Anolis sagrei: one gene and its partners. The protein of the gene in region 4 interacts with the protein of the main gene of each other region in a pairwise test. Links are inferred from orthologs where the notes say so. Each region holds a gene or a part of one and is shown on either strand. Other genes may lie near its edges. The genes, in order: MXD4, MXD1, MNT and MLX.

The links.
Region 1: the proteins of MLX (region 4) and MXD4 interact in a two-hybrid assay, tested with the Homo sapiens proteins (2 studies listed by BioGRID). The link is inferred for Anolis sagrei from reciprocal best matches to the Homo sapiens genes MLX and MXD4.
Region 2: the proteins of MLX (region 4) and MXD1 interact in a two-hybrid assay, tested with the Homo sapiens proteins (2 studies listed by BioGRID and IntAct). The link is inferred for Anolis sagrei from reciprocal best matches to the Homo sapiens genes MLX and MXD1.
Region 3: the proteins of MLX (region 4) and MNT interact in a two-hybrid assay, tested with the Homo sapiens proteins (2 studies listed by BioGRID and IntAct). The link is inferred for Anolis sagrei from reciprocal best matches to the Homo sapiens genes MLX and MNT.

The regions. Positions count from the first base shown.
Region 1 is NC_090023.1:142,409,356-142,416,610, reverse strand, and holds the start of MXD4 (max dimerization protein 4), read right to left. Parts: upstream 3,016-7,255; 5' UTR 2,995-3,015; coding exon 2,931-2,994; intron 2,783-2,930; coding exon 2,695-2,782; intron 1-2,694. UniProt on the Homo sapiens protein: Transcriptional repressor. Binds with MAX to form a sequence-specific DNA-binding protein complex which recognizes the core sequence 5'-CAC[GA]TG-3'.
Region 2 is NC_090027.1:24,782,037-24,789,444, forward strand, and holds the start of MXD1 (max dimerization protein 1), read right to left. Parts: upstream 3,003-7,408; 5' UTR 2,904-3,002; coding exon 2,825-2,903; intron 1-2,824. UniProt on the Homo sapiens protein: Component of a transcriptional repressor complex together with MAX. In complex with MAX binds to the core DNA sequence 5'-CAC[GA]TG-3'. Antagonizes MYC transcriptional activity by competing with MYC for MAX binding.
Region 3 is NC_090031.1:25,878,624-25,885,735, reverse strand, and holds the start of MNT (max-binding protein MNT), read left to right. Parts: upstream 1-4,107; 5' UTR 4,108-4,572; intron 4,573-4,583; exon of another isoform or gene 4,584-4,842; intron 4,843-5,328; 5' UTR 5,329-5,382; coding exon 5,383-5,455; intron 5,456-7,112. UniProt on the Homo sapiens protein: Binds DNA as a heterodimer with MAX and represses transcription. Binds to the canonical E box sequence 5'-CACGTG-3' and, with higher affinity, to 5'-CACGCG-3'.
Region 4 is NC_090026.1:51,084,793-51,092,455, forward strand, and holds the start of MLX (max-like protein X), read right to left. Parts: upstream 3,019-7,663; 5' UTR 2,974-3,018; coding exon 2,926-2,973; intron 1-2,925. Other genes in the region: ATP-dependent RNA helicase DHX8, read left to right, coding at 5,632-5,737. UniProt on the Homo sapiens protein: Transcription regulator. Forms a sequence-specific DNA-binding protein complex with MAD1, MAD4, MNT, WBSCR14 and MLXIP which recognizes the core sequence 5'-CACGTG-3'. The TCFL4-MAD1, TCFL4-MAD4, TCFL4-WBSCR14 complexes are transcriptional repressors.

The DNA of each region.
Region 1 (7,255 bases), on a different chromosome or scaffold from region 4:
AATGACAGTCACAATGCTGACCCCTCCATTGAGAAATCAGCTTAGAAAGCTTTTTTTCTTCTCTCTTCTCCTTTAAAAAGGTTTTAAAAACTCATTTATGCACCTTAGCATATTGAGAGGAGGAAGACTAGCACACCTTTATATATATCCATGCCTAGATATTGGACACCTACTTCAGCCTATGGAAATTGTGTGTGACGTTCAATTATGTATTATTTTTAAATATAGTTTTGTAAGCTTTATTTTGAGATTGTGTTTTGTCCACTGTTTAGATTTATTATTGTCTGATTTTGGCATCGAATGTCTGCTGTTTTGTTACTTTTGTGGGAAACCACCCTGAGATAGAGCAGGGTACAAATAAAGTATTATTTTACTGACACAAAAACACAATATGTCATAGCAAACGAGATATATATGCTGGATTTCGTATCACAAAATCACAAGTCAAACTCAAGCGTCTAGGACTGTGTGATGTATTTTCGAATGATGTGCACAAATCCAAGTAAGGTGGCCTTTTGCAGTTGACAGATTGTGATTTTGTCAGTGTTTATTGTTTCCAAATGCCGGCTGAGATCTTTTGGAATGGCACCCAGTGTGCCAATGACCATTGGGACCTCCTGTACTGGTTTATGCCAGAGCCGTTGCAGATTGATTTTGAGGTCCTGATAATGGCTGAGTTTTTCCTGCTGTTTTTCCTCAATGCGACTGTCACCTGGTATGGCAACATCATCTACACTTCTTTCTTTTCCACAATCATGATGTCTGGTGTATTGTGTTCCAAAACTTTGTCAGTCTGGATTCTACCTGAGGCATCTGCAGGGGACCCTGGGCAGATAATTATGTAAAACAGGTAGAAAGTGTTGGAAATCAACCCCACACTGCCCAAGTCCTCAATGAAGAGATGTTACTTAGCATTAGAATAGTCTGAGGGTTTCCCTTCCCCCATGTCTCCTTTATGGAAGTTGGGAATTTATCTGTTTTTCTCTCCTCTGTTTTTGCTCTCATTCTGATTGGTTGTGTAGAATGGATACTTTTCTACAGGAATTTTTTTACTTTAATTTTTCTTACATAGGAATATGTGCTGTGTGCTTTGAGATCACTCTGTGCATGCCTGTCAGGAGAGATGTTGTGCTTGCTGTTTCCCCCCTCTTTTAAAACCTTAGACGAGATGGGTGTTGGAGTAGATCAGACCCAGTTCTTGATTATTAAGAAATGCAGTTATTTCTTATTATTGTAAATAAACCTTTTGTGATTTTTTTTAAAAGATTGGACTCTGCATCTTTGCCTGCCTAAGCTCTTAATTCTTTACAGCCACATCACATTGCACTTCATGCACTGCTCGCTAATGAGCTGAATGCTCAACTTTTAGTATTCTTGTTTGAGAGGCGGGAGTATAAAGTTTTGTCTTGACACAGTTCAGTCACCATCATGCGTTGGAACAGTGAGGAGCGTGCTTTTGCCATTGAGGCCTACTTTTCGAGCGGATATGGAGTGGCTGGCCCGCTCTCCAGATTTGGCCCCTTGTGATTTTTTTTTTAAATCCCCTGTTTATGTGAACCGTCCAAGGACCCTACAAGAGTTGAAGACTAACATCCAGGAAGAAATTGCCAACATAACGCCTGCTATGCTGGCAAGAGTCATGACAAACGCCAGAAATCGGTTTACTCAGTGTATGGAGAATGGAGAATGGGGGACGTCACCTACCTAATTTGATCTTCAAAACTACGTAAAACAAAACTTTAGGTGTGTTTACATTGTAAAAAAAAAATCTGATTCATACAATGGGTTTTATTGAGTTTTGAAAAAAGAAAGTTATGCTGCCTCACCCTGTATAATTGCCAACATAGCGTCTGCAAGTGTCATGACAAACGCCAGAAATTGGTTTACTCAGTGTATGGAGAATGGGGGACGTCACCTACCTAATTTGATCTTCAAAACTTCGTAAAACAAAACTTTAGGTATGCACGCATATTTTTAAAAAAACAATAATATATTTGTGATTCATACAATGGGTTTTATTAAGTTTTGAAAAAAGGAAGTTATGCTGCCTCACCCTGTGGTATGATAGCTGGGTAATGCTTGGAACTTCCAGACCCAGCTATCATACTATTACTGTAGTTTTCCCTAACAGAAAGATTAAATATTTACTGAAAATATATCAGCATGTGGAAGCCTGGTTTTCTCGTTTTCTGGGAAGCATCATCTGCAGAGTAGACTGTAAACATTGAGCAACAGATGGGCGTAAATGTTTAAATCAGCCACTAGGTGGCGTTAAGGTCCAAATGTTTTCGTGGCTCCAACACTAAGCTAAAGCAGGCCTGGGCAAACCTCGGCCCTCCGGGTGTTTTGGACTTCAACTCCCACAATTCCTAACAGCCTACCGGCTGTTAGGAATTGTGGGAGTTGAAGTCCAAAACACCCAGAGGGCCGAGGTTTGCCCAGGCCTGAGCTAAAGAAACCTCATGTAGAGTTGAAGAGGCAGCGTTGGCCGCACAAACACCAGCCGGGGTTGGGAAAGCAGGGCTGGGCAGGAAGCGGCTCCTGCGCGCGTGGCACCGCTCCCCGGAAGTCCCGCCCCCAGACTGGCTCGCGGGGGGCAAGATGGCGGCGAGGGGCCCGCGGGGCCGGCCTCAGGCCCAGCCCCCGCCTTCTCCTCCCCCCTCCTCCCCACACACACAGGGAACGGGGCCTTACCGGTTGTTGGGGGATTTTCCGAACTTCGTTTTCCTTGCGGGGTGGTCGCTTTCGAAAGGCAAGACCGAGGCGTAGCCGTGCTCCGCTTCTGTGAGGGAAGGAAGAGCCAAACACCCAATAAACGCCCTATTATTCCCACAAAACAACACCAAACAGGAGGGAAGGGACGAGTGGAGAGGGAGGGAGGGCCTGCAAGGCTGGCACAGAAGACCCTTCAACGCCAGGCAGATATTCACCTCTTTCCCTCCTTTCCAAGTATTCCGCGGCTTCCAGCAGCATCAGCAAGGAATTCCACTCCATCTTCCCAGGGGCCGGAGAGCTCTCCCTCAGGAACGGCAAGCCGCAGGGGGAAAACTTAAAGAGTTCGCGAGAGCAACGGGCCTTGCAAAGTCTCTCTCAACAAATCAAGTCTTCGGTGCCATGGCTGTCAGGTTGATGGGCAGCTGCCCCAGCCAGTTAATAACATGCCGTGCGAGCTCCTGAGCCTGACAGAACCAATCAGGTACAAGCCCAGGGTGTTGAGGCTGAGAGAATGTTGACAGTTCTGGAGTCCCACCCTCTGATTGGCTGGCCACGAAGGCAACAACTTCGAAGCGAGGGCTTAGCAACAGCACGTGAGGGCCCAGCCCCGACTTCCCTGACTGGCCGGCTGGCTCCATGCAAAGGAGGCAGTGGCGCGTGATTGGACGCGCCGGGTCTATGCAAATAAGGCTCGCTCGCATAAAAGGGATGCTCTGAGGGAGGAGCGCGTGATTCGCGACGGGGGCGAAGCCAATCTTGAGCTCGCAGGAAAGGCTGATTCGCCTTCCTTGAGAATAAGCCACTTTGCTTCATAACAGGACATAGAAGAGTTATTTGTAAACTAAGAACTGCGTTGCTAGCGTCTATTACGGTGATGTGGTAGCATGTTTCCGTATCCCAGTGTTATTAAGGTGGTAAAGGCAAGTTAATTTATTTTACAATGCAGCCCAATACAGGCCCACGGATATGATATATATAAAAATCTCCCAGGGCTCTTCCAGACAGGCCCTATATCACAGGATTCCGATCCCAGGTATTCTGCTTTATGAGTCCGCACTGTCAAATAATCTGGGATAAACAAAGTCAGATCCTGGGATATAGAGCCTGTCTGGAAGGGCCCAAAGAGTGGCTCTTGTCAGCGTTTTCAGCTTGGTCTGTTCCAATTCTTATTATTCCTAGATACACTTTACTTTGGAGTCCCCGGTGGCGCAGTGGGTTAAAGCACTGAGCTGCTGAGCTTGTTGATCGAAAGGTCGCAGGTTCGATTCTGGGGAACGGCATAAGCTTCTGCTGTCAGCCCTAGCTTCTGCCAACCTAGCAGTTTGAAAACATGCAAATGTGAGTAGATCAATAGGTACTGCTCTGGCGGGAAGGTAACGGCGCTCCATGCAGTCATGCCGGCCACATGACCTTGGAGGTGTCTATGGACAACGCTGGCTCTTCGGCTTAGAAATTGAGATGAGCACCACACCCAGAGTCAGACATGACTGGACTTAATGTCAGGGGACTACCTTTACCTACACTTTACTTACTTAGGCGATCCCTCATTGGACGAGTAGGATAGCCTTTCATAATCAGTATTCTTGTGGATCCGTAGGTGGCTGTGGAGCCCTATTCTTGACCTGCATCTTCTCCCACAGTGAGGGCATTGGTTTCCAGGTGGAAGGCGGTCTTGGTTGGGGCTGGCTTGACGCGCCTTCCTCCTGGTACATTTCTCTCTTTCACTCTCCATTCGTGCCTCTTCAAATTCTGCAGCACTGCTGGTCACAGCTGACCTCCAGCTGGAGCCCTCAAGGGCCAGGGCTTCCCAGTTCTCCGTGTCTATGCCAGAGATTTTAAGGTTGGCTTTGAGCCCATCTTTAAATCTCTTTTCCTGTCTCCCAACATTCTGTTTTCTGTTCTGGCTTCAAGCTACAATAAAGGAGATTCCATCTGAACATGAGGAAGAACTTCCTGTGAGAGCAGTTCAGCAGTGGAACTCTCTGCCCTGGAGTGTGGTGGAGGCTCCTTCTTTGGAAGCTTTTAAACAGAGGCTGGATGGCCATCTGTCAGGGGTGATTTGAATGCGACATTCCTGCTTCTTGGCAGGGGGTTGGACTGGATGGCCCATGAGGTCTCTTCCAACTCTATGATTCTAAGATTCTATATACGCACACAAAACACATATACACAGACTGGGCCACAGCAACGTGTGGCAGGGCATGGCTAGTCTATATATATAACACTATGGCAGATAATTCACATCTGCTTTGAAATGGATTATGAGTCTACACCGCTATATAATCCAGTTGAAAGATAATCTGGATTTAATACAGCAGTATAGAAGGGGCCCATTTAACACGTTTCTTGTTCCTGGGTTACAAATGTCATTTTCTAGGGCCCTATAGAAATATAAAATAGTATCAGTATGAGGGAGGAAAGGAAGAGGGAAAGGCAGGCATCCTTCAGCACAAAGGCTTCCGGAAGCAAGGATCTCTTTTCCCATTGGCCGAACAAGTCAGTTCCACGCGACAGTCGTGCGCCGTTACCATGGAGACCAGCCAATCGAGACCTCGACGCTGTAAACATTGTGCAAAGGCGCGTCTTCTGAAGCCACGCGATATTTCAGAAGCCCCCCAAAGTCACATTCCCGTTGCTTTCCCCCAGTTGCTAAGCAACTAGTAGCAACAGACACCGCCGTTGTGTTTCCCTTCGGGCTGCCTTCGCGGTGACTGCCCTGTCGCTTCGCTTAGGAGCGGGTCCCGTGGTAAGAACAGCCTGCCTGCTCTTTGTCCTTCGCAGGACCCAAAGGGCAGGGAATCGTTTTCCGGGAAGGGCGAGCCGGCTTCCTGAGGGCAGCCTCGTCACTCGTGCAGTGGGATTCCTGCTCATCAAAAACATCCCAGTTAAGTTTAAGCAGAAGGTCGCCCTTTCCACGCTGCCATATAATACAGATTATCAAAGGGCCCTTCCACACAGCCATGTAAACCAGAATATCAAGGCAGAACATCCCATGGTACCTGCTTTGAACTGGTTTACCTGAGGCCCCTTCCACTCAGCTAAATAAAATCCCACATTATCTAATTTGAATTGGAATATATGGCAGTGCTTACTCAGATAACTCATTTCAAAACAGATATTGCAGTCCAGACTCATACAGGGTGAGGCAGAATAACTTCCTTTTTTCAAAACTTAATAGAACCCATTGTATGAATCAGAAATATTTTTTTTATAATGTAGGCATATATCTAAAGTTTTGTTTTACGTAGTTTTGAAGATCAAATTAGGTAGGTGACGTCCCCCATTCTCCATACACTGAGTAAACCGATTTCTGGCATTTGTCCTGACTCTTGCCAGTAAAGCAGGTGTTATGTTGGCAATTTCTTCCTGGATGTTGGTCTTCAAATCTTGTAGGGTCCTTGGACGGTTCACAGAAACACGGGATTAAAAAAAAACCCATAGAAAAAAATCACAAGGGGCCAAATCTGGAGAGCGGGCCAGCCACTCCAAATCCGCTCGAAAAGTAGGCCTCAACGGCAAAAGCATGCTCCTCACTGTTCCAACGCATGATGGCAACTGAAATGTGTCAGGACAAAACTTATACTCCCGCCTCTCAAACGAGACCACTAGCGCTCCTCTACGTCTTCAACTGACTGAATGGCGCGCATTTTAAAAAGAAGTTATGCTGCCTCACCCTGTATAATGCAGTTCAATGCAGTTCAACTGTATACGGAAACTGCATTATAGGGCAGTCCAGAGCCCTTCCACACAGCCTTATATCCCAGAAAATCAAGGTAAAAAAATCCCAGTGTGGACTCAGATAACCCAGGGCCCTTCCCCACAGCCCTATATCCCAGAATATCAAGGCAGGAAATTCCACAATATCTGTTTTGAACTGGGTTACCTGAGTCCACACTCAGATAATGTGGGATTTTCTGTCTTGATATTCTGAGATATAGGGCTGTGGGAAAGGGTTAGAGTCCACACTGCCATATATCCCAGTTCAAAGCAGGTAATATGGGATTTCATACAGCTGTGTGGAAGGGGCCAGAGTTTATAATCCACGTTACTGCTTTGAACCGGATTATATGAGTCTAGACTTCTGTATAATCCAGTTCAAAGCAGATAATCTGGATTTTATATGGCAGTGTAGAAAGGGGCCTAGAACTTTATTTTGAGGACTCAGAGAGACTTCAAGGATGCTATGTGTACCACTACAAATAGTCATGTGGAGATCAAGTGAAAACCACTTGCATCATATTTGTAAACAGAAGGCAGCCTTTGGATCGAAATTATTGTACGGACGTTCCACACAGCTATGTGACTCAGAGGGCAGATAACCACAATATCTGCTTTGAACTGGATTATCTGAGTCCACACTGCAATATAATCTAGTTAAATGTTATACAGCTGTGTGGAAGGGTCCTCATGTTTATTCAAAAAAAGTAACATTTTCTGCTAATGTGGAAGATTTGCTGTTTGTTGAATTGTTTCTTGTTGGGGGTGTTTTGAAAATTGGAGTTCCAGACTGTTTTGCTTCTGGAGGGATCGCTAATCCTCC
Region 2 (7,408 bases), on a different chromosome or scaffold from region 4:
ACGATGGAATTGAACCAAACTTGGCACATCGTTCTCCCATGACCAACAGAAAATACTGGAAGAGTTTGGTGGGCAGTGTCCTTTGGTTTTGGAGTTGTAGTTCACCTACATCCAGAGATCACTATGGACTCAAACAATGATGGATTTGGACCAAACTCTACACGAATACTCAATATGCCCAAAATGTGAACACTGGTGGTTTGGGGAAAACAGAATCTTGACATTTGGGAATTGTAGTTGCTGGGATTTATAGTTCACCTACAATCACAGAGCATTCTGAACCGCACCAACAACAGAATTGGGCCAAACCTCCCACACAGAATCCCCATGTGGGCCACAGCAATGCGTGGCAGGGGACGGCTAGTAATAAATACAACACACAGTCCTAGACGCTTGGGAAATGTTCAACTTGTGATTTTGTGATACGAAATCCAGCATATAGATCTCGTTTGCTGTGACATACTGTGCTTTTGTGTCAGTAAAATAATAATAATAATAATAATAATAATAATAATAATAATATTCATTTAATAGGTCTGCCCTAATGGGGCCTGGCAACTGGAAATGTTTTGAGTCTTGGGCGGCAGGGGGGGACAAAAACCCAAAGACTCCATAAATAAGGCCCAAGCAAACAATAAGGAAAGGGGGGGGGGGGAGGGAGTCAAGCAGCGCATCTTCTCTACCTTTCGCTCCCTGGCCAAGGCGACTGGGCGAGAAGGAGGGAGGGAAAATCACGTCAAGAAAACAGGTCTTTCTTTCCTCCTCCTCCTCCACCACCACCACCACAAAGAAAGGAAACCTACTGAGAAAGGGAGAGGAGGAGGAGAAAGAGAGAAACCAGATCTTTGGTGCGCTCCCAAAACGGGTTTATTTCAGCACCACCATGAAGCAGCTCTGAATCCATGAAAAACACAGTGCTGAAACCACATGAACCCACTGGGCTTAAAGGCACCACAAAGCTCCATCCTGGAGCCCTTGTTTCTTTGAGACTGCATCAGCAGGCCAACATGGCTTTGTATTTGCAAATGGCAGAGGAGGAGGGGGAGGAAGAGGAGGGGGAGGGGGGAGGCTGCGAGCGGTAGAGCCCCCCCCCCCCCAACACACACACACATACAAAAGACCCCTCATAACAATCTGTGGGAGGAAAGAAGGAAGGCAAGGAAGGGAACTCCTCCAAATGTCAAAGCAAATGCCTCAAAGCAAGTGCCAGGTCCTTTCTGATCTGGAGAGCTGAGTGTGAATCCTCCTCCTGCAAGGCACGTAGTGAGGCCTGTATTTCAGGGGAAGGAGTTGCAAAGGGCTCAATCCCACGGGCCACAGAACACAGAGGGAGGGAAAGGGGCAGGGATGAATTAACACCCCCCCCCCCACACACACATTAATTAACTATTTGAATTACTTCTAAGCTTGTTATTGTATCTCATGTTTATTATTGTATGTTTAAATTGATCCCTTCCAACTGTAATAATGGTGATGATGTAGCAGAGGCAGGGTGACCATCTGTCAGGAGGGCTCAGTAGAGTATTTTTATCCTTTTTCAATTTTAGCTTGTAAATCGCCTAGAGCATCTTGGATGGAGGGCGATTAATAAGTAATTAAATTATGATGATGATGATGAGTAAAGGAGGTTGGGCTGAGTGGCCTTTGGGGTCCCTTCCAACTGTAATAATGATGATGATGTAGCAGAGGCAGGGTGACCATCTGTCAGGAGGGCTCAACAGAGTAAAAGAGGTTGGGCTGGGTGGCCTTTGGGGTCCCTTCCAACTCTGGGATTCGATGATGACGATGCCTGGGTGTTGGCCTGGGCGGCTCTTTCCACTCTAGGATTAGGATATTTCTAATATACGTGAAATAACTTTCGATCTACCACATCTATGGCTGGGTGGCCATCTGTCGGGAGGGATCGGGCGCTGCCTTTCCTGCCTGGGAATAATAATTATGCTACAGTAGTAGTAGTAGTAATAATAATAATAATGTTGTTGTTGTTCATTCGTTCAGTTGTGACCTCATGAACCAGCCCACGCCAGAGCTCCCTGTCAGTCGTCACCACCCCCAGCTCCTTCAAGGAATAATAACAACAACAATAATGTTGTTCAGTCGTTTCCGACTCTTTGTGACCTTCATGAACCAGCCCATGCCAGAGCTCCCTGTCAGTTGTCACCACCCCCAGCTCCTTCAAGGAATAATAATAACAATAATAATGTTGTTGTTCAGTCGTTCAGTCGTTTCCGACTCTTCCTGACTCCATGAACCAGCCCATGCCAGAGCTCCCTATCAGTCGTCACCACCCCCAGCTCCTTCAAGGAATAATAACAATAATAATGTATTGTCGAATAATGTATTGTACAACAACCCAATAATAATAATAATAATAATAATGCTGTTGTTGTTCATTCGTTCAGTCATTTCCGACTCTTCCTGACTTCATGAACCAGCCCATGCCAGAGCTCCCTGTCAGTCGTCACCACCCCCAGCTCCTTCGAGGAATACTAATAATAATGTTGTTCATTCGTTCAGCCGTTTCCGACTCTTCCTGACTTTATGAACCAGCCCACGCCAGAGCTCCCTGTCAGTCGTCACCACCCCCAGCTCCTTCAAGGAATAATAATAATACTCTAGTAATTCTACTTTCCTGCCTGGCGTTGGCCTGGGCGGCTCTTGGTGGCCCCTGGGGGTCCCTTTCTACCCTATTGTGAGGCTGATTTCGTGGGGAGCAGGTCTGGCCCGGTAGGCTGTGAGGAATTGTGGGAGTTGTAGTCCCAAACGCCAGGAGTGAGGGCCGAAGCGGGCCCGGGCCAAGCACAACAACAACAGGCCTACCTACCCCTCTCCCTCCTCTCCAGGAACTCCGCCGCCTCCAGCAGCATCCGGATGTTCTCGCGCACCTGGGCGGCGGTCGCCATCTTCCTTCCTTCCTTCCTCGGAGAGAGTGTTTACCTCCCTTCAGCCTGACAGGCTCCACGCAACCAAGCCTGCCCCCGGCCGCAGCCAAAGCCGCAGGCCCCGCCCCCAAGGGGGCGGGGCCTGCGGCTTTGGCTGCGGCGGGGGGCAGGCTTGGTTGCGTGGAGCCTGTCATGTTTTCGCTGATTGGAGGAAACGCGCTGCCACGAGTCGCTCCGCCCCTCCCCTGTTCGCGGAACTCGGCTCCCATTGGCCGCCTTCCTCCGTCGGGCCCATGTTGTTTGTTTCTTGGTGTTAAAAGGCTTTTCTAGCCCCGCCCACTCCCCCAAGTGCTTGTGGACGCACGCACACTCCGCCTTCCTATTAATCCCGGACTCCCATTGGTCGGGAGTTTTCAAAGGCAAGCGCTGATTGGCTCGACCGAAGCTTTTTTTTCTTGTCAGGGTTTTTTCCTGATTCAGGCCACGCCCACTGCTTGTTCCTGCTGTTCTGCCTTCCGCCTCGCCCGCTGTCCACGTGTTCCTGCCAGTTTGGCGGACCAATCAGCGCTCGGCTGCCGGAGCGGATCTGAAATGGAACTGGGCCTGGGCCAAGGAAGCAAAGAAGGGAACTGCCAGGGGATTCGGGGACTCTATTGCAAAAAGGCAACAGACAAGGCCTGCCTGACATTATTATTATTGGGTTGTTGTAGGTTTTTCCAGGCTATATGGCCATGTTCTAGAGGCATTTTCTCTTGACGTTTCGCCTGCATCTATGGCAAGCATCCTCAGAGGTAGTGAGGTCTGTTGGAACTAGGAAAAATGGGTTTATATATCTGTGGAATGACTAGGGTGAGACAAAGGACTTTTGTTTGCTGGGGCTAGCTGTGAATGTATCCAGTATTAAAAAACTCAAAAATTACAGCAGCAAAACAACAGAGGGGAAACAAACAGGCACATGAAATCACTCTCAACAAAAGATTCCCCCCAGGCGCTTCCAAGCCATTGAATACAAATCAAGGTGATCAGTTGAAACATTCACAGCTAGCCCCAGCAAACAAGTCCTTTGTCTCACCCTGGTCATTCCACAGATATATAAACCCATTTTTCCTAGTTCCAACAGACCTCATTACCTCTGAGGATGCTTGCCATAGATGCAGGCGAAACGTCAGGAGAAAAATTGCCTCCAGAACATGGCCATATAGCCCAGAAAAACCTACAACAACCCATGGATTCCGGCCATGAAAGCCTTCGACAATAATAATAATAATAATTATTATTTACTAGCCGTCCCCTGCCACGCGTTGCTGTGGCCCAGTCTGTTGATCTGGAAAATATAGTAATGAGAAAGTGTTGGTTTCTAATATATGTAATGTCTCTATGCTTGTGGGTAAACAGTATTTCTTGCTGTTTGTCAGTGTTGATGTGGAGACTGTCTGGTTTGCCTACTATGGAACATGCAACGTATCATTGTCCTTCTTTAGGAATCCCTTTCAAATCTAGGATACTATCTCTCTCTGTGTGTGAATCATATCTATCTATATCTATGGCAGGAGGGCTTTGATTACATTTTCTTGCCCTGATGAAGGGAGTTGGATTGAATGGCCTTCAGTATTTTCTGTTGGTCATGGAGGTTCTGTATGGGAAGTTTGCCCCGATTCTGTCGTTCGTGGGGTTCAGAATAATAATAATAAAACTTTATTTATATACCGCTCTATCTCCCCGAGTGGTTCCCAGATAAAAATCGCAGAACAAATAAAGTAAAAACAACATAACTATAAGATTAAAAAAACAAAATATGCATAAAACTATAAGATTAAAAAAACAAAATGCGCACTGGGATTGTGGCGCAGCTGGCTGAGTGTCAGCTGCATTAAGAGAGAGGTCAACCCTCCTGTTTAAGGAGCTCCACTGGCTGCCGTTTATTTTCCGAGCCCAATTTAAGGTGCAAGTGCTTACCTACAAAGCCCTGAACAGTTTGGGACCATCCTACCTGTGTGACCACATCTCCGTTTATGAACCCACGCGTTCACTTCGTTCATCCAGAGAGGCCCTGCTCGTGATTGGTGGGCACGCGAGACAGGGCCTTTCCTGTGGTGGCCCCCCGACTCTGGAACACCACCCCAAAAGATCTTAGACAGGCCCCTACATTGGCAGTCTTTAGAAAGAACTTGAAGACCTGGCTGTTCCGATGTGCCTTTCCAGAATAGAAAAACTCCAATAACAAGTCCAGAAGCACTTTATTAGAATTGAGATTGCTGCACACTGCACTTACCCTATAATCCTTTACATGCCACCTCTCACATCAGAACTTTTGGGGCCTGTCTTATTTCCCTTGGAAGGGAGTTCCAGAGATGGGGTGGCACCACTGAGAAGGCCCTCTCTCTCTTCCCCACCAACCGCGCTTCAGACAGTAGTGGGACCGAGAGGAGCGTCTCCCCGGAAGATCTTAAGAGTTCATGCCGGTTCATAGAAGGAGATGAATGCTCTTTGATTGTATGTGAACTGTTAATCCTAGTGACTACAACTCCCAAATGTCAAGGTCTATTTCCTCCAAACTCCATCTGTGTTCATATTTGGGCGTATTGAGTGCTTGTGTCAAGTTTGGTCCAGATCCATCATTGTTTGAGTTCACAGTGCTCTCTGGATGTAGGTGAACTACAACTCCCAAACTCAAGATTAATGCCCACCAAACCCTTCCAGTATTTTCTGTTGGTCATGGGAGTTCTGTGTGTCAAGTTTGGTTCAATTCCATTGTTGATGGAGTTCAAAATGCTCTTTGATTGTAGGTGAACTATAAATCCCAGCAACAACAACTCCCAAATGACAAAATCATAATTTTTTGAGTGATGGTCACTCCTTGTGTTGTGAGACGTTTTGTTGCCAAATTTGGTGTGATTTCATTCATTGGTTCTTTTGTTTTTAAGGTACTCATTATGCACAGAGCAATTTTATATATATACATTATTTATTTAAAACTTTAATACCCCGATCTTCTCTACCTCTGCAGAGTGACTCAGGCCGGCTAACAGCAAAGATTCAATGTTAACACTGAAAATCTAAAACATAATACACAACATTAAGTTACCAATTACATTACATAAAATTACATAAAATCCGTTTGCCAGGATAAAATCGTGTCCAACTCAGTCCGTATGTCCAGTCCATATATTGTGATCAGTACCGTTAGTCGATTGCCGGTTTCAGACATCATTCCGCAAAAGCTTTGTTGCACAGCCAGGTTTTCACTATCTTCCTAAAGGTTAGGAGGGAGGGGGCAGATCTAATTTCATTTGGGAGGGAATTCCATAGCCGAGGGGCCACCACAGAAAAGGCCCTGTCTCTCGTCCCCACCAGATGCGCCTGCGAAGATGTCGGGACCGAGAGCAGGGCCTCACCAGAAGATCTTAACAATCTTGATGGTTCATAGGAGAGAATACGTTCGGACAGGTGAACTGGGCCAACATTAAGCAGCCCACAAAGATTGGCTGCAGTGAAGGAACACAGGCTGGCAGGCGGGCACTCCCTTGGGATCGTGCGCCCCCTTTCTGCTTGGCCTCTCCTGTATTAGGCCATACTGGCCATTACAAAGGAACCACCTCATAAGGGGGCTGGCCTCGAGTGGGAGGTGGCCGGGTCTCTCACAACTTGAGAATTTTGTGGCATTATACATCAAAACATAAATAAAGCAGTGATGGCATCCAGAAAGCCCTTGGCGAGTTTGGGCCCACCTTTCTTTTAATAAGTTTTCAAACCGCTTCTCAATAAGCAAACGCCAGGAAACAGGAACACCCTGAAACCCCTTCTACAGGGTTTTGTGCTCTTTGGAGGCTCCACCAGCTTGGCTCCGGATTGGTTTCAGGACTCTCTCACTCTTTCTCCCTCCATCTCCTGGTGAGTGGGAGGCATATCTCCCATTGCTATTCTAGGTCACAGGAAACCAAGCTGGCGAGTTTAATCTGGATCACGCCTCCCTCAAATTAGAGGCGGAAGGACACAATGCAGGCCATCCCAAGGTAAAATATCCAACTTGCAAAGGACTCACCAGTGAAGAACAGGGTTGAGACAACAGGAAGAGAGGGGAATCTTATATTATAATTAGTATTTGTATTTTATTATATCATTAGTATTAATACATGCACACAGGCCATCCCTGAGTTAGCGTTATTATATTATTCTTATGGTCCACGAAGTCATGAAGAGTCGGAAACGAACGAACGAACAATTATTATTTTATACAGGGTGAGGCAGCATAACTTCCTTTTTTCAAAACTTAATAAAACCCATTGTATGAATCAGAATTTTAAATTTTTTTTAATGTAGGCGCATTATAAAAGTGTTGTTTTATGTAGTTTTGAAGATCAAATTAGGTAGGTGACGTCTCCCATTCTCCATACACTGAGTAAACTGATTTCTGCCGTTTGTTATGACTCTTGCCAGCATAGCAGGCGTTATGTTGGCAATTTCTTCCTGGATGTTGGTCTTCAAATCTTGTAGGGTCCTTGGACGGTTCACATAAACACGGGATT
Region 3 (7,112 bases), on a different chromosome or scaffold from region 4:
CGGTTCGGAAACTTCAACTGGTCCAGCGAGCGGCAGCCAGGCTGCTCACTGGGGCGACATACAGAGAGCATACCACCCCTCTGCTGTGTCAGCTCCACTGGCTGCCGGTTCAGTTCCGAGCCCAATTCAAGGTGCTGGTCTTGACCTACAAAACCCTGTACGGTTCCGGTCCAGCGTATCTGTCCGAACATATCTCCCTCTACATCCCACCACAGAATTTAAGATCATCTGAGGGGGCCCTGCTCTCGACTCCACCGCTTTCCCAAGCAAGGCTGGTGGGGACGAGGAGCAGGGCCTTCTTAGTGGTGGCCCCCCACCTGTGGAACTCACTCCCAGTGGATATCAGGGCATCGACATCACTCCTGTCCTTTAGGAGAAAGGCAAAGACGTGGTTGTGGGACCAGGCCTTCGGGCAATCTGCTAACTAGATAGGACAACCAGGCAATTAGGACCGGCAGGACTGATATATGTGGACTGATAAATGTGGAAGAAAACTCTGAACCATGAGATAGCGAACACTGACTGGCAAGAAGGAAGAAGCGGTTTGTATCGGTTTGTATGAAATTTTATTGGTTTTATTGGTTTTAACGGGTTTAGATGCAATGTATTGTTGTTGTTGTTGTTTGCTAATTTGTTATTTTGTTTTATTGCTTATTATTGATGTATGCTATGGGCATCGAATTGTGCCTTGGATGTGTAAGCCGCCCTGAGTCCCCTTCGGGGTGAGAAGGGCGGGGTAAAAGTAAACCAAATAAATAAATAAATCCAAGTCAGGTGGCCTTTTGCAGTTGACAGATCATGATTTTGTTGATGTTTATTGTTTCCAAATGCCGGCTGAGATCTTTTGGCACGGCACCCAGTGCGCCAATGACCACTGGGACCACCTGTACTGGTGTATGTCAGAGCCTTTGCAGTTCGATTTTGAGGTCTTGATAACGGCTGAGTTTCTCCTGTTGTTTTTCCTCAATGCGGCTATCACCCGGTATGGCAACATCAATAATCCAAACTTTTTTCTTTTCCACTATTGTGATGTCTGACGTGTTGCGTTCCAAAATTTTGTCAGTCTGGATTCAAAAGTCCCACAGTATTTTTGCATGTTCATTTTCCACGACCTTTGAAAGTTTATGATCCCACCAATTCTTGACTGCTGGCAGGTGGTCCTTGTGACATAAGTTCCAGTGAATCATCTGGACCACAGAGTTGTGCCTCTGCTTGCAGTCCATCTGTGCGATTTTCTTGCAGCAGCTGAGGAGATGGTCCATGGTTTCATCTGCTTCCTTGCACAGTCTGCATTTTTCGATCCTCAACTTAATGGCATTGGTTCTGATGGCTTGCTCCTCAGCTGCAAGAATCAGGCCTTCTGTCTCCTTCTTCAGGGTTCCATTTGTAAGCCATCACCAGGTCTTCTCCTTATTAACTTTTCCTTCAATTTTGTCAAGAAACTGCCCATGTAAGGCTTTGTTGTGCCAGCTGTCAGTTCTGGTTTGGAGTGCAGTTTTCTTGTACTGACTCTTTGTCTGCTGTGCTTTAAGAAGTTTCCGATTATTGACTTCAATTAAAGCAAGCTCTTGGTTTTCCTTGACATATTCTACCAGGGCATCGTGTTTTTCTTCTTCAACGGCTTGCTTTACTTGTAAAAGTCCTCTGCCCGCAGATAGAGCCAGTCAACATCACTGCGATGATATAGTGAATTATGAATGGTCATGAGTTTTCTTGTTTTTCTGTCCAAATTGTCCAGTTCTGCCTGCGTCCAGTTTATAATGCCAGCAGTATATCTTATGACAGTATGGCCCTTACTACTCTTGTAGCGAATATTATTACTATTATCGTCATTGTGCTTAGTACAATTACAATTGCAATTCTTATTGTAAATATTTTTCAATTATTGTTGCAATTATTATTGAAATGCTTATAGTAATTGTTGCAAGTGTTATTGTAATTATTACTGCAATTCTTATTATTGTAATTCTTACTGTAAATATTGCAATTCTTATTCTGGTAATTATTGCAATTCTTATTGTAATTATTATTGCAATTCTTATTATTGGAATTATTATTGCAATTCTTATTGGAATTCTTATTATTATTGCAATTCTTATTGGAATTATTACTGCAATTCTTATTGTAATTATTGTAATTATTACTATTGTGCTTATTTTATTAGTTATGTAGATTATTTTTGCAATTATAACGGCAAATGTGATTACTAGTTTTCTTTCCCAAATTCTCTCCAGCAATCCGGATTCGACTTGCCTTTTTTTCCTGCAAAGGCAATTGGGATCTGGACTGTTTTGCCTGTGATCTCATCTGACGCCACAGGAGGCAACCCACACTCAACAAAAACCGCCTTTCCTGTTTTGCTGCACACATTCCTTCCCCCCCCCCCCGTCCTTATCACGCATTCCGGATTCACGTGTTTACTCCTTCCCCCCTCCCTCCGGAAATAGGGCGCGGCTCCTTTAAGGAAGGGAAATAGGGCGCGGCCCCTTTAAGAGCGCCTGCTGCCTCCTGACTTCCCACCCGGCCATGACTAGACAGATTGTCCCAGATGGCTCCACCCTTGCCTCGCGCGAGGCGAGTGGGCGGGGCACGATTCAAGCCCCGCCTCCCACTCAGCACGCTCTGGGGAAGGAAGGCGGGGCTTGAAGGGCTTCATGCAAATGAGGTCTCAGTTCCTACAATAAGATAAGACCTGCGTCCTACTCAGCACGCTCTGGGGAAAGAGGGCGTGGCTTGAGGGGCTTCATGCAAATGAGGCAGCACTTCCTCAAATCAGTAGGGGGGAGAGGCGCGTGGGCGGAGCATAAGACAAGCCCTGCTTCCTACTCAGCACACACTGAAGGAAAGGGCGGGGCTTGAGGGTGCTTCATGCAAACGAGATAGCATTTCCTCAAATCAGTAGAGGGAAGAGGGAGCGGCGGGTGGGCGGGGCATAAGGCAAGCATGCTCTGAGGGAAAGAGGGCGGGGCTTGAGGGCACTTCATGCAAATGAGATAGCATTTCCTCAAATCAGTAGAGGGAAGAGGCGGGTGGGCGGAGCATAAGATAAACCCAGCGTCTGAGGAAAAGAGGGCGTGGCTTGAGGGGCTTCATGCAAATGAGACCGCTCTTCCTCAAATCAGCAGGGGGAATAGAGCGAGGTGGGCGGGGCATAAGACAAGCCCCGCCTCCCACTCGCCACGCTCTGGGGGGAATTTATTTATCGTGTCATCAGCAACCATTGTATTACAATTCTAACAGAGCAAAACAAACACAGAGATTAAAAAGAAAAGGAAAAAGAAGAAAGAAAGAAAAAAAAAAACCATACAGATTTTGCAAATTTGGTATTTGGTTAAATGTCCTTTGACCAGTATCTGGCCACTTGGAGTGCCTCTGGGGTTGCCGCAAGAAGGTCCTCCATCGGCAGGGCTTGAGGGTGCTAGCACTTCCTCCAATCAGCAGGGGGAGGGGCGCAAGGAGAGTGGGCGGAGCATAAGGTAAGCCCTGAGTCTGAGTGGAAAAGAGGGCGTGGCTTGAGGGAGCTTCATGCAGATGAGGCCGCACTTCCTCCAATCAGCAGGGGGAAGAACGCGAGGCGGTTGGGCGGGGCATTAGACAAGCACGCGCTGAGTGGAAAAGGGTGCAGCTTGAAAAGAGGGCGTAGCACTTCCTCCAATCAGCAGGGGAGGGGCCAAGGAGAGTGGGCGGAGCATAAGATAAGCCCTGCGTCTGATGAAAAGAGGGCGTGGCTTGAGGGGCTTCATGCAAATAAGGCTGCACTTCCGCCAATCAGGATTGGAAAGAGCACGAGGCGGTTGGGCGGAGCATAAGACAAGCACGCGCTGAGGAAAAAAGGGCGTGGCTTGAGGGGCTTCATGCAAATGAGGCCGCACTTCCTCCAATCAGCAGGGGGAAGAGCGCGAGGCGGTTGGGCGGAGCACAAGCCTGAGTGGAAAAGAGGGCGCTTCATGCAAATGAGAGAGCACTTCCTCCAATCAGCAGGGGGAAGAGCGCAAGGAGAGTGGACGGAGCATAAAATAAGCCCTGCGTCTGAGAGGAAAAGAAGAAAAAAAGGGCGTGGCTTGAGGGGGCTTCATGCAAATAAGCCCACACCTTCCTCCAATCAGCAGGGGGAGAGGCGCAAGGAGAGTGGGCAGAGCACATCAGCCCTGCGTCTGATGAAAAGAGGGCGTGGCTTGAGAGGCTTCATGCAAATGAGGCTGCACTTCCGCCAATCAGGATTGGAAAGAGCGCGAGGCGGTTGGGCGGAGCACAAGACAAGCACGCGCTGAGGAAAAGAGGGCGTGGCTTGAGAGGCTTCATGCAAATGAGGCCGCATTTCCGCCAATCAGGAGGGGGAAGAGCGCGAGGCGGTTGGGCGGAGCACAAGACAAGCACGCGCTGAGGAAAAGAGGGCGTGGCTTGAGGCGCTTCAAGCCAAGGAGGCCGCATTTCCTCACACCAGCAGGGGGAGGAGCTAAGCCTTGCCTCACACTCCTCACACTTGAGGAGGGAAAGCGGGCGGGGCTTGAGGGGCTTCATGCAAATAAGGCCAGAAGGACGAAGCGAAGGAGGAGGAGCCTAAGCAGCGAAGTAAGTAGAACAAAAGAAGGCAAGGGAAGGGAAGAGAACCAGGGCGCGACTTGAGGTGTCCTGTCCCTTTAAGAGAGGCGCCGGCGGGGGCCCGCGGCGGAGAGTGCCCATGTGGAGCTGCTCCATGCCTTGTTGTCCTGTCACGCCATTGGCCAGGGAGCGGGTGACGTCATTGAGCAGCACGCGGACGCAGTGCGGGGGGGAGGATCGGGGGCAAAACCCGGAGGTGGAACTCCCCGGAATGGGTGATTTAAACCAAAGCGACGGGAGGTGAGGAAACAGCGGCGCGAGGCGACACATTGAACCAATTGGATCAGCCTCATGTGTTGCCTGAGTGAGCGCTCAAAGCATCAACGGCTGGCGCGGCTCGAATTCCATTAAGAGAGGAGTCCAGTCCGGGTTTTGCTTCCCCCCGCGGGGATAGTAGCAGAGGGCCGTGTCTCTCCCTCTCTCTCTCTCTCTCTCTTGTTGTGTTTCTGTTACGCATCGCCATCTTGTTACAAAGCCTTCTTCTGGTCGGGTGGGAGGGGGCCGCGGAAACGGGGGCCGGAAGGGGCCAAAAAGGCTTGGCTTCAGCCCGGATTGGTGTGCTCTCTCCCCTCCAGAAGAACCACAACAGCAGCAGCAGCAGCAATAGGGACCCTCTTTGGCAGAACAAGCCAAGCCCTTCTTTGCACATTCGAGACAGAGAGATATACCTATCTATCTATATATTTATATATTTTTCCTTATATATATATATTTTGGGATCCTCAGACTGCCCCCACCCTCCTGCTCCTGCTCCTCCTTTTGGGACTCCCACCCCGAGAAATGAGCATTGAGACCTTGCTAGAAGCGGCCCGGTTCCTGGAATGGCAAGCGCAGCAACAACAGAAAGCACGTGGTAAGTGGAGTCACTCCGGAGTCAACCCGGATCAGATGCGGGGGGAGGGGTTGCACCTCTTTTTTCCCTTCTGCCTAAATGGGGAGCACTTCTCCACCTTCTCCCCCAATCTCATTATTATTATATTGTTCAAATTGGATTGGGAGAGAGAGAGAAAGAGCTTTGGGGGAGTCCCATGACGTCATCACTTGCAAATGCCATTCCCACCCTTGTCTGATGGTGATGAATGCCTAATTAATCACATTGCAAAACAGGGGCTGGATGGCCATCTGTCAGGGGTGATTTGAATGCAATATTCCTGCTTCTTGGCAGAATGGGGTTGGACTGGATGGCCCACCAGGTCTCTTCCAACTCTAAGATTCTATGATCTAATTAATAAGACTCATATGACTGTATTGTCAGTTTCTTTGGAATGCCTCCCCTCCCCTCTATCTTCATTTCAATTGGCTGTCAGCACAATAATAACCATAATAGGGATATTCATATTATATTATAATATTATTATTGTAAGTCTTGCCACTCTTTATTATTATACTATATTATTATGCAGTTTCTCATGTCACTCCTGACACACACAAAATATATTAATATCAGCATAACAATAACTATCATAGGCATTGAAGGGATATTCATAAATAATATATTATCTATTAATATCTATTTAATGTGACTAATATTAGCAGTTTCTTTGTCAGCACAGTAATAAACATAATAGGGATGTTAATATTATTATATTATATTATTATTGTTAGGATATTATTATTGTAAGTCTTGCTATTCTTTATTATTATATTATGATGCAGTTTTTCACGTCGCTCCACGTAACAATAACTATCATAGGCATTGAAGGGATATTCATAATAATATATTAATATCTATTTAATGTGACTAATATTAGCAGTTTCTTTGGAATGCCTCCCCTCCCCTCTATCTTCTATTCAGTTTGCTGTCAGCACAATAATAAGCATAATAGGGATATTTATATTATATTATTAGGATAATATTATGTTATATTATTATATTATTAATAAAGATTTATTATTATATTATTATTAGGATATTGTTATTTTATTATATTATTATTAATAAGGATTTATTATATTATTATTATTATGATATTGTTTTTATGTAATATATTATTATTAATAAGGATTTAATATTCTATTATTATACAGTTTCTCAAGTCACTCCTGACACACAAAAAATATATTAATATCAGCATTACAATAACCCTCATAGGCATTGAAGGGATATTCATAATAATATATTATCTATTAAAATCTATTTAATGTGACTAATATTAGCAGTTTCTTTGCAATGCCCCCCTCCCCGCTATCTTCATTTCAATTGGCTGTCAGCATAATATTAACCATCATAGGAAGTGAAGGGATATTGATAATAGATTATTATTATATTAATTATTATAGTGTTCATAATTGTATATTATATTAATATTGTTAATATACCGTAGTAATATATTAATATATCATATTAAAAAAAATTATTTACGGCATGGATATGCCTCCCTTCTCACCCCGAAGGGGACTCAAGAGTGGCCTACAAAATATATTTGCATACAATATATTATATTATTAGCATAGTACAATATCAGTATTGTATATTACTATATTACACAATCCATTATATTGTAATATTA
Region 4 (7,663 bases):
CGATTTGTTGTAAAACATAATGTTTTGTTGCTTAATTTGTAAAATCATAACATAATTTGAGGTTTTAATAGGCTTTTCCTTAATCCCTACTTATTGTCCAACATTTTCGCTTATCCAATGTTCTGCCGGCCTGGTTATGTTGGATAAGTGAGACTCTACTGTACAAAGAAATGTTGCAGTATATCCTTCCTAAAACAAATGCTTGTGTTAAGTTCTGGTATTTCTGCATTAGAAGACTGCTGTTCAGGGGGACCACACCCAGCCTTCCTGTTATGATATATATAAGTAGAAAACTAACCTCAACCCTTGTAAAAGATAACAACACAATGGAAAAGTGTGAGCCAAAATATCAATTTTCTTCTTCTTCAAATATCCCTATGTGGTCCAAATTGGGGTTTAACCTCAGAGCCCCCATTCATAGAATCTTTATTCATTTCTTCCAGGGTGAGGCAGCATAACTTCCTTTTTTAAAATGCGCGCCATTCAGTCGGTTGAAGACGTAGAGGAGTGCTAGTGGTCTCGTTTGAGAGGCGGGAGTATAAAGTTTTGTCCTGACACAGTTCAGTCGCACATCATGCGTTGGAACAGTGAGGAGCGTGCTTTTGCCATTGAGGCCTACTTTTCGAGCGGATTTGGAGTTGTCAGCCCGCTCTCCAGATTTGGCCCCTTGTGATTTTTTTCCTTGGGGAGTTTTTGAAATCCGGTGTTTATGTGAACCGTCCAAGGACCCTACAAGATTTGAAGACCAACATCCAGGAAGAAATTGCCAACATAACAACTGCTATAGGTGGTACTTAACCCCTTACAAAATGTCAAAATGTTATAAAAACACTTCAGACAAATGTTGGAAATGTGGGCAACAAACTGGAACATTTTTCCACATTTGGTGGACCTCTTCAAAAGCAAAAAAGTTTAGGACAGAGATCCATATGGAAATACAAAAAATACTAAATATATAAAAATAGAAAAAGAACCGGTCCCCCCCCCCCCCCCCCCCCGGAATTCCCTGCCTAGGGAAATCAGACAGGCTCCTACTTTGTCCTCTTTCTGGTGTCAACTAAAAAACTTGATATTCCGGTAAGCTTTCAATTAAACAGTCAACCTGTAACTTTTTCCTGCACTTTATGTTTGGCCCTCTTATCATCCACCTCAACACTTTGATGACACTATTCCTAGTCCTATCTACTTGATTGTTGCACTTTCCTTGCGCTCCTCTTCAGGATGTATTGCATGCAAGGCACCTAAACCTCAGCTATATTTTTTCTCAGCCATATTGTTTGATATTGCTTACAATTGTGTTTGTTTTTATATTTTACCTGATGTTTTTAAATGTGTGTTTTATTTGTAATTTTGGGGCTTGTCCTTTGTAAGCCGCCCCGAGTCTCCCTGGGGAGATGGTTGGCGGGGTATAAAAATAAAGTTATTATTATCTATATAAATAAAAATGTAATGTTCGTTTGTGGGATTAACAGAATTCAAAAACTACTGGATGAATTAACATGAAATTTAGACACTATACCCCTAACAGACCAACAAGTGATCACTCATAAATCACCATGCCCCCCCCCCAAAAAAACTGGAAAGGACTTAAAAAAAAACCCAAAAGCTAAATGACAATACAGAAAAAAGGAAGAGGGGGGGAAGGAAGGGGAGAAAGAAGGAAGGAAGGATAGAAAGAAAGAGGGAGGAAAAGAAATCTGGAGGGGGGAAGGAAAGAAAGAGGTAGAGAAGGAAGAAGGAGAGAAGAAAAAAAGGAAAAGGGAAGAGGGAATGAAGGAAGGAGGGAAAAAGGAGAGAAAGAGGTGGGAAGGAAAGAAAGAGGTAGAGAAGGAAGGATGGAAGCAAAAAGTGAAGGAAGGAAAGAGGTAGAGAAGGAAGAAAGGAGAGAAAGGAGAAGGAAAAGAACGGGGGGGTGAGGAAGGAAAGAGGGAGCGAAGGAAAGAAGGAAAGATGGAAGCAAAGAGTGAAGGAAGGAAAGAAAGAGGTAGAGAAGGAAGAAAGGAGAGAAGGAAAGAGGGAGTGAAGGAAGTAGAGAAAGAGAGAGGGAAAGAAAGAATGAAAGAGAGAAGGAAGCATGGAAGCAAAGAGCGAAAGAAGGAAGAAAAGAGGTAGAGAAGGAAGGAAGGAGAGAAAGAGGGAGGGAAAGAAAACGGGAGGGGGAAAGGAAAGAAAGAGGTAGGGAAGGAGAGAGGGAAAGGAAAAGAAGGAAAGAGGGAGGGGAGGAAAGACAGAAGGAAGAATGGAAGCAAAAAAACAAAAGAAGGAAAGAGGTAGAGAAGGAAGGAAGGAGAGAAAGAGAGAGGAAAAGAAAACGGGAGGGGGAAAGGAAAGAAAGAGGTAGGGAAGGAGAGAGGGAAAGGAAAAGGAGGAAAGGAAGGAAAGAGGGAGGGAAGGAAAGACAGAAGGAAGAATGGAAGCAAAAAAACAAAGGAAGGAAAGAGGTAGAGAAGAAAGGAGAGGAAGAGGGGGGGAGAAAAAGGGAGGAAGGAAAGAGGGAGCAAAGGAAGGAGGGAAAGGAGAGAAAGAGGGAGGGAAGGTTGGCCACAGCAATGCGTGGCGGGTACAGCTAGTTATTATTATTATTATTATTAAAAATGGCAACACAAATGGCTGCCAGCCAAATGTAGGCGCAGCAGCTGCTGCTTAAACATCTCCTCAAAACAGGTGAATTGTTTATACTTAAGATTTAATTAAACCCTTTGTAAATCTAAACATAACACAAAGAGGAAGCCCCTCTCTCACGCACTGGCCTAAGGTTAGTTTAGCAGACGGAATGGTGCCAAAGCTGAGGTTTGAAGAGACATTCTTCGTATGCTCAGAGGCTACTTTACATTTCTTCGCCCGAAAGGACAAGGAAGTCCCTGACCTCCACAGGCCTGCGATGCACTTCGAGACCCAGGCCCAGCCCCTCCCAGCTCCACTCACTTTTCCTACCCAAGCATTTTCCGAAGAGACGCTGGACGGTTCCGCCATCTTCCCACAGCTAGGCCACAATGTCACGTGTCCTCCTGGCACTGGCCAATCAGGGCTGGGGGGAGGGTCCTCCCGGAAGAGTCGCGTCGAACTGCAGAGGTTTTTGGGAAAGGTAGTTTTTCCTCTTCTGCCGGACAAATCCTGCAGCCACCTGCTTGTCTTCAACGTCATTTCCTGTTTACTATTGCAATACACCATCCCCAGACCGGAAGTGAGAGTTATCCTGAAAAATTAATGGAGAGGGACAGAAATTGCAGTCACTACGGCTGAATCTAAGCTGCCCTGTAATCCATCTTCAGAATGTGGATAAACTGCATTGATCTGGATTGTAGGCCAGTATAGATTACTATAATCCGATTCAATTTAGTTAATCCACATTCTGAATCTGGATTATAGGCCAGTGAAGATCCAGCCTTTGTCCCCTTTACTACAAGATCCCTCAGCATTTGTTTAATAATATCTTTAGTAAACCACCAATTTTATTTATTAGGAAACCACACAAAGAGTAAGCACAAAATTCATTTCATATTATTATTTATTTATTTATTTATTTACCTTACTTATATACCGCTGTTCTCAGCCCGAAGGCGACTCACAGCAGTTCACAACAAATATGAACAGCAAAAATTCAGTGTTACAGTATAGAAACAGTTAACAACCTAACACATTACACAATTAATAAACAGTTACTACAATACCCATTCACTATCGTCTCGTCATCAAAAACATGTTCCAGATTCGTCATCCATTGTTCCATTCCAGTGTTCATTAACCAATCATTCCACTAATTATTCGAACACCTGCTCAAACAGCCAGGTCTTCACCTTTTTTGTGGAATACCATTAGAGATGGTGCTAGTCTAATGTCCGTAGGAAGGGCGTTCCACAGCCGAGGAGCCACCACCGAGAAGGCCCTATCTCTCGTACCCGCCAGCTGAGCTTGAGAAACAGGCGGGATCGAGAGCAGGGTCTCCCCGGAAGATCTCAAAGTCATATATTTATATCCTGCCCATCACCACCCAAGCAGGGAGCTTTGAGATGGTTGAACAGAAGCTCTCTGAAGCTCTAGGTGCTCTTACTGCCTATTACAGGGAAAACCAGCTGATCCCCAACCCATCCAAAACACAGACATGTGCCTTTCACCTTAAGAACAGACAAGCACCCCAAACTCTGAGGATTGCCCAGGAAGGAATCCCACTGGAGCATTGCAGCACACCCAAATACCTGGGAGTCACTCTGGACCGTGCCCTGACCTACAAGAAGCACTGCCTGAATATCAAGTAAAAAGTGGGTGCTAGAAACAATATCATACGAAAGCTGACTGGCACAACCTGGGGATCACAACCAGATACAGTGAAGACCTCTGCCCTTGTGCTATGCTACTCTGCTGCTGAGTATGCATGCCCAGTGTGGAACTCATTACACCACACTAAAACAGTGGATGTGGCTCTTAATGAGACATGCCGCATTATCACGGGGTGTCTGCGCCCTACACCACTGGAGAAATTACACTGTCTAGCCGGTATCACACCACCAGACATCCGCTGGGAAGAAGCAGCCAATAGTGAAAGGACCAAGGCAGAGACATCTCCAGCTCATCCCCTGTTTGGGTATCAGCCAGCACGTCAACGACTTAAATCTAGACATAGTTTTCTAAGATCTACAGAGACGCTCGCTGGAACACCTCAGCAAGCGAGATTTCAAAAGTGGCAGGCTCAAACCCAGCACCTCAATCTGTGGGTGATACCAGATGAGAGACTCCCCCCTGGGCACACAGAAGACTGGGCGACTTGGAAGGCGCTGAACAGACTGCGCTCTGGCACCACGAAATGCAGAGCCAATCTTAAGAAATGGGGCTACAAAGTTGAATCCACGACATGCGAGTGTGGAGAAGAGCAAACCACTGACCACCTGCTGCAATGCAACCTGAGCCCTGCCACATGCACGATGGAGGACCTTCTTGCGGCAACACCAGAGGCACTCCAAGTGGCCAGATACTGGTCAAAGGACATTTAATCAGCTACCAAGTTTGCAAAATTTGTGTGTTTTTTTTATCTGTTTTTTTGTTTTGTTCTGTTAGAAATGTAATACAGTGTTCTGGTTGTGGATGACACATACATAATAAAATAAAAAATAAAAAAAATACCAGGGTGGGACAAAGGACTCTTGTCTGCTGGAGCTAGGTGTGAATGTTTCAGCTGACCACCTTGATTAGCATTTGATGACCTGGCAGTGCCTGGGGCAATCTTTTGTTGAGAGGTGATTCGATGTGCCTGATTGTTTCCTCTCTGTTGTTTTGCTGTTTTTAATTTTAGAGTTTTTTTTTATGGGAAATCTCTTTTGGCACCTCTCACTTCTAATCTGGAGAGAGGTTTAATTGTAGGCATTGTCAAACTGCGGGCCTCCAATTCCAAAACCATTTTGTTCTATGGTCAGGAATTCTGAGAGTTAGAGGTCCAATCAACGAGAGGACAGAAGTTTGAGGCTGCCTGCTTATGACACCGGAAGTCTGCCGAGAGCGGCATTCTAACCTTTTATAAGTTTAGGGGAATACACCGGAAGTAAGGCGTAATGCGTGCGACGCTCTTACGCTAAGGGACGCACGGAGGGGAGAACCGGAAGCGCGTCTGGTTAGCGGTGGGGGCGGCGGCGTGTTGCCATGGCGGACCCTGTAGAGGAGCTTGCCAAACTCGAGTACCTCTCGCTCGTCTCCAAAGTCTGTACGGAGCTCGACAACCACCTGGGCATCAACGACAAGGACCTAGGTGGGTGCCTGGGTGGCGGGGAGGGACGGGCCCCCATTTTGCGCACCTCCCGGAGCTGGGGAGCCTTCCCTGCCACCTCCTTGTGTCCCTCATCGAGCAGCAGAGCTTCTGTACCAGAATTCCTCAACTTCTGCCCATCCAAGTTGTTTGGACTTCAGTTCCCAGAATCCCTCCTCGTTGACCAAGGCAGCTGAGGCTTCTGGGAGTTGAAGTCCAAAGTCCTGAGAATCTCTGGAAGGCATCCTTGTTCTTATACCAGGCATGGGCAAACTTCGGCTCTCTAGGTGTTTTGGATTTCAACTCCCACACTTCCTAACAGCCGTTGTGGGAGTTGAAGTCCAAAACACCCGGAGGGCCTAAGTTTGCCCATGTATTTATTTGTCGTGTCAGGGCAACCAGTCAATTGTATTATATTTCTAACAGAGCAAAACAAACAGTCAAAACACAAAATTTGCAAGCTTAGTAGTTTAGTAGTAGTAATTTTTATTGATTAGCCCTTAGGCCATATCACAATAAGAAACAGAACAACAAGGCCTGACAAGACCTGATCACACTCCACGTAGAAAGTTAAAATAAGACACTTATAATAATACAGTAAATACATATGATAAGACATGATAAAACTGATAAACTGATCAAGCTGAGTGTATACATCATATTTCATTATCACCCCTACAATTTACCCCAATCAGCCCTACATATGTGGTTCTCAGACGTATTGTTTTGCTTAAGTACAGAGCTGTTTTATACGTTATTTTTGGGTCTTGGCCACACATAAAATATGTTGTTCTGATGTGAGAATCCCAATACATTGTCCGTTTGATATATGGACCAAGGTGGAAGTCTCTCACCTTTTGATACAATTTGCAATCAAACAATGTGTGTGCTATATCCTCAGTTTCGGGTGCCCCGCAGATACAACTCCGTTCATTATAAGGGATGCTGTTAAATCTCCCGTATCTAACCATTGTCTCGAGCTGATCAAATCTGGCTCGCGTGAATACCTCCCTGAGATGTTTTGGTATTTGCATTTTTAGATAATTAGCAGTTTGAAAGGTGAAGTTTAGTAGTTGATTAAATGTCCTTTGACCAATATCTGGCCACTTGGAGTGCTTCTGCTGTTGCTGCAAGAAGGTCCTCCATTGTGCATGTGGCAGGGCTCAGGTTGCATTGCAGCAGGTGGTCAGTGGTTTGCTCTTCTCCACACTCGCATGTCGTGGATTCAACTTTGTAGCCCCATTTCTGAAGGTTGGCTCTGCATCTCGTGGTGCCAGAGCACAGTCTGTTCAGCGCCTTCCAAGTTGCCCAGTCTTCTGTGTACCCAGGGGGGAGCCTTTCATTTGGTATCAGCCATTGGTTAAGGTTCTGGGTTTGAGCCTGCCACTTTTGGACTCTTGCTTGCTGAGGTGTTCCAGCGAGTGTCTCTGTAGATCAGTGGTTCTCAACCTTCCTAATGCCATGACCCCTTAATACAATCCCTCCTGTTGTGGCGACCCCCAACCATAACATTGTTTTTGTTGCTACTTCATAACAGTCATTTTCCTACAGTTATAAATCATAATGTAAATATCCGATATGCAAGATGAATTTTCATTCACTGGACCAAACTGGGCACAAATACCCAATGCACCCACATGTAAATGCTAGTGGGGTTGGGGGAGGATTGGTTTTGTAATTTGGGAGTTGTAGTTGCTGGGATTTATAGTTCACCTATAATCAAAGAGCATTCTGAACTGCACCAGCGATGGATTTGAACCTAATTTGCCACACAGAACTCCCATGACCAACGGAAAACACTGGAAAGGTTTGGTGGGTATTGACCTTGAGTTTGGGAGTTGTAGTTCACCTATGTCCAGAGAGCACTGTGGACTCGTGCAATGGTTGATCTGGACCAAACTTGGCACAAACACTCAATATGCGAAAATG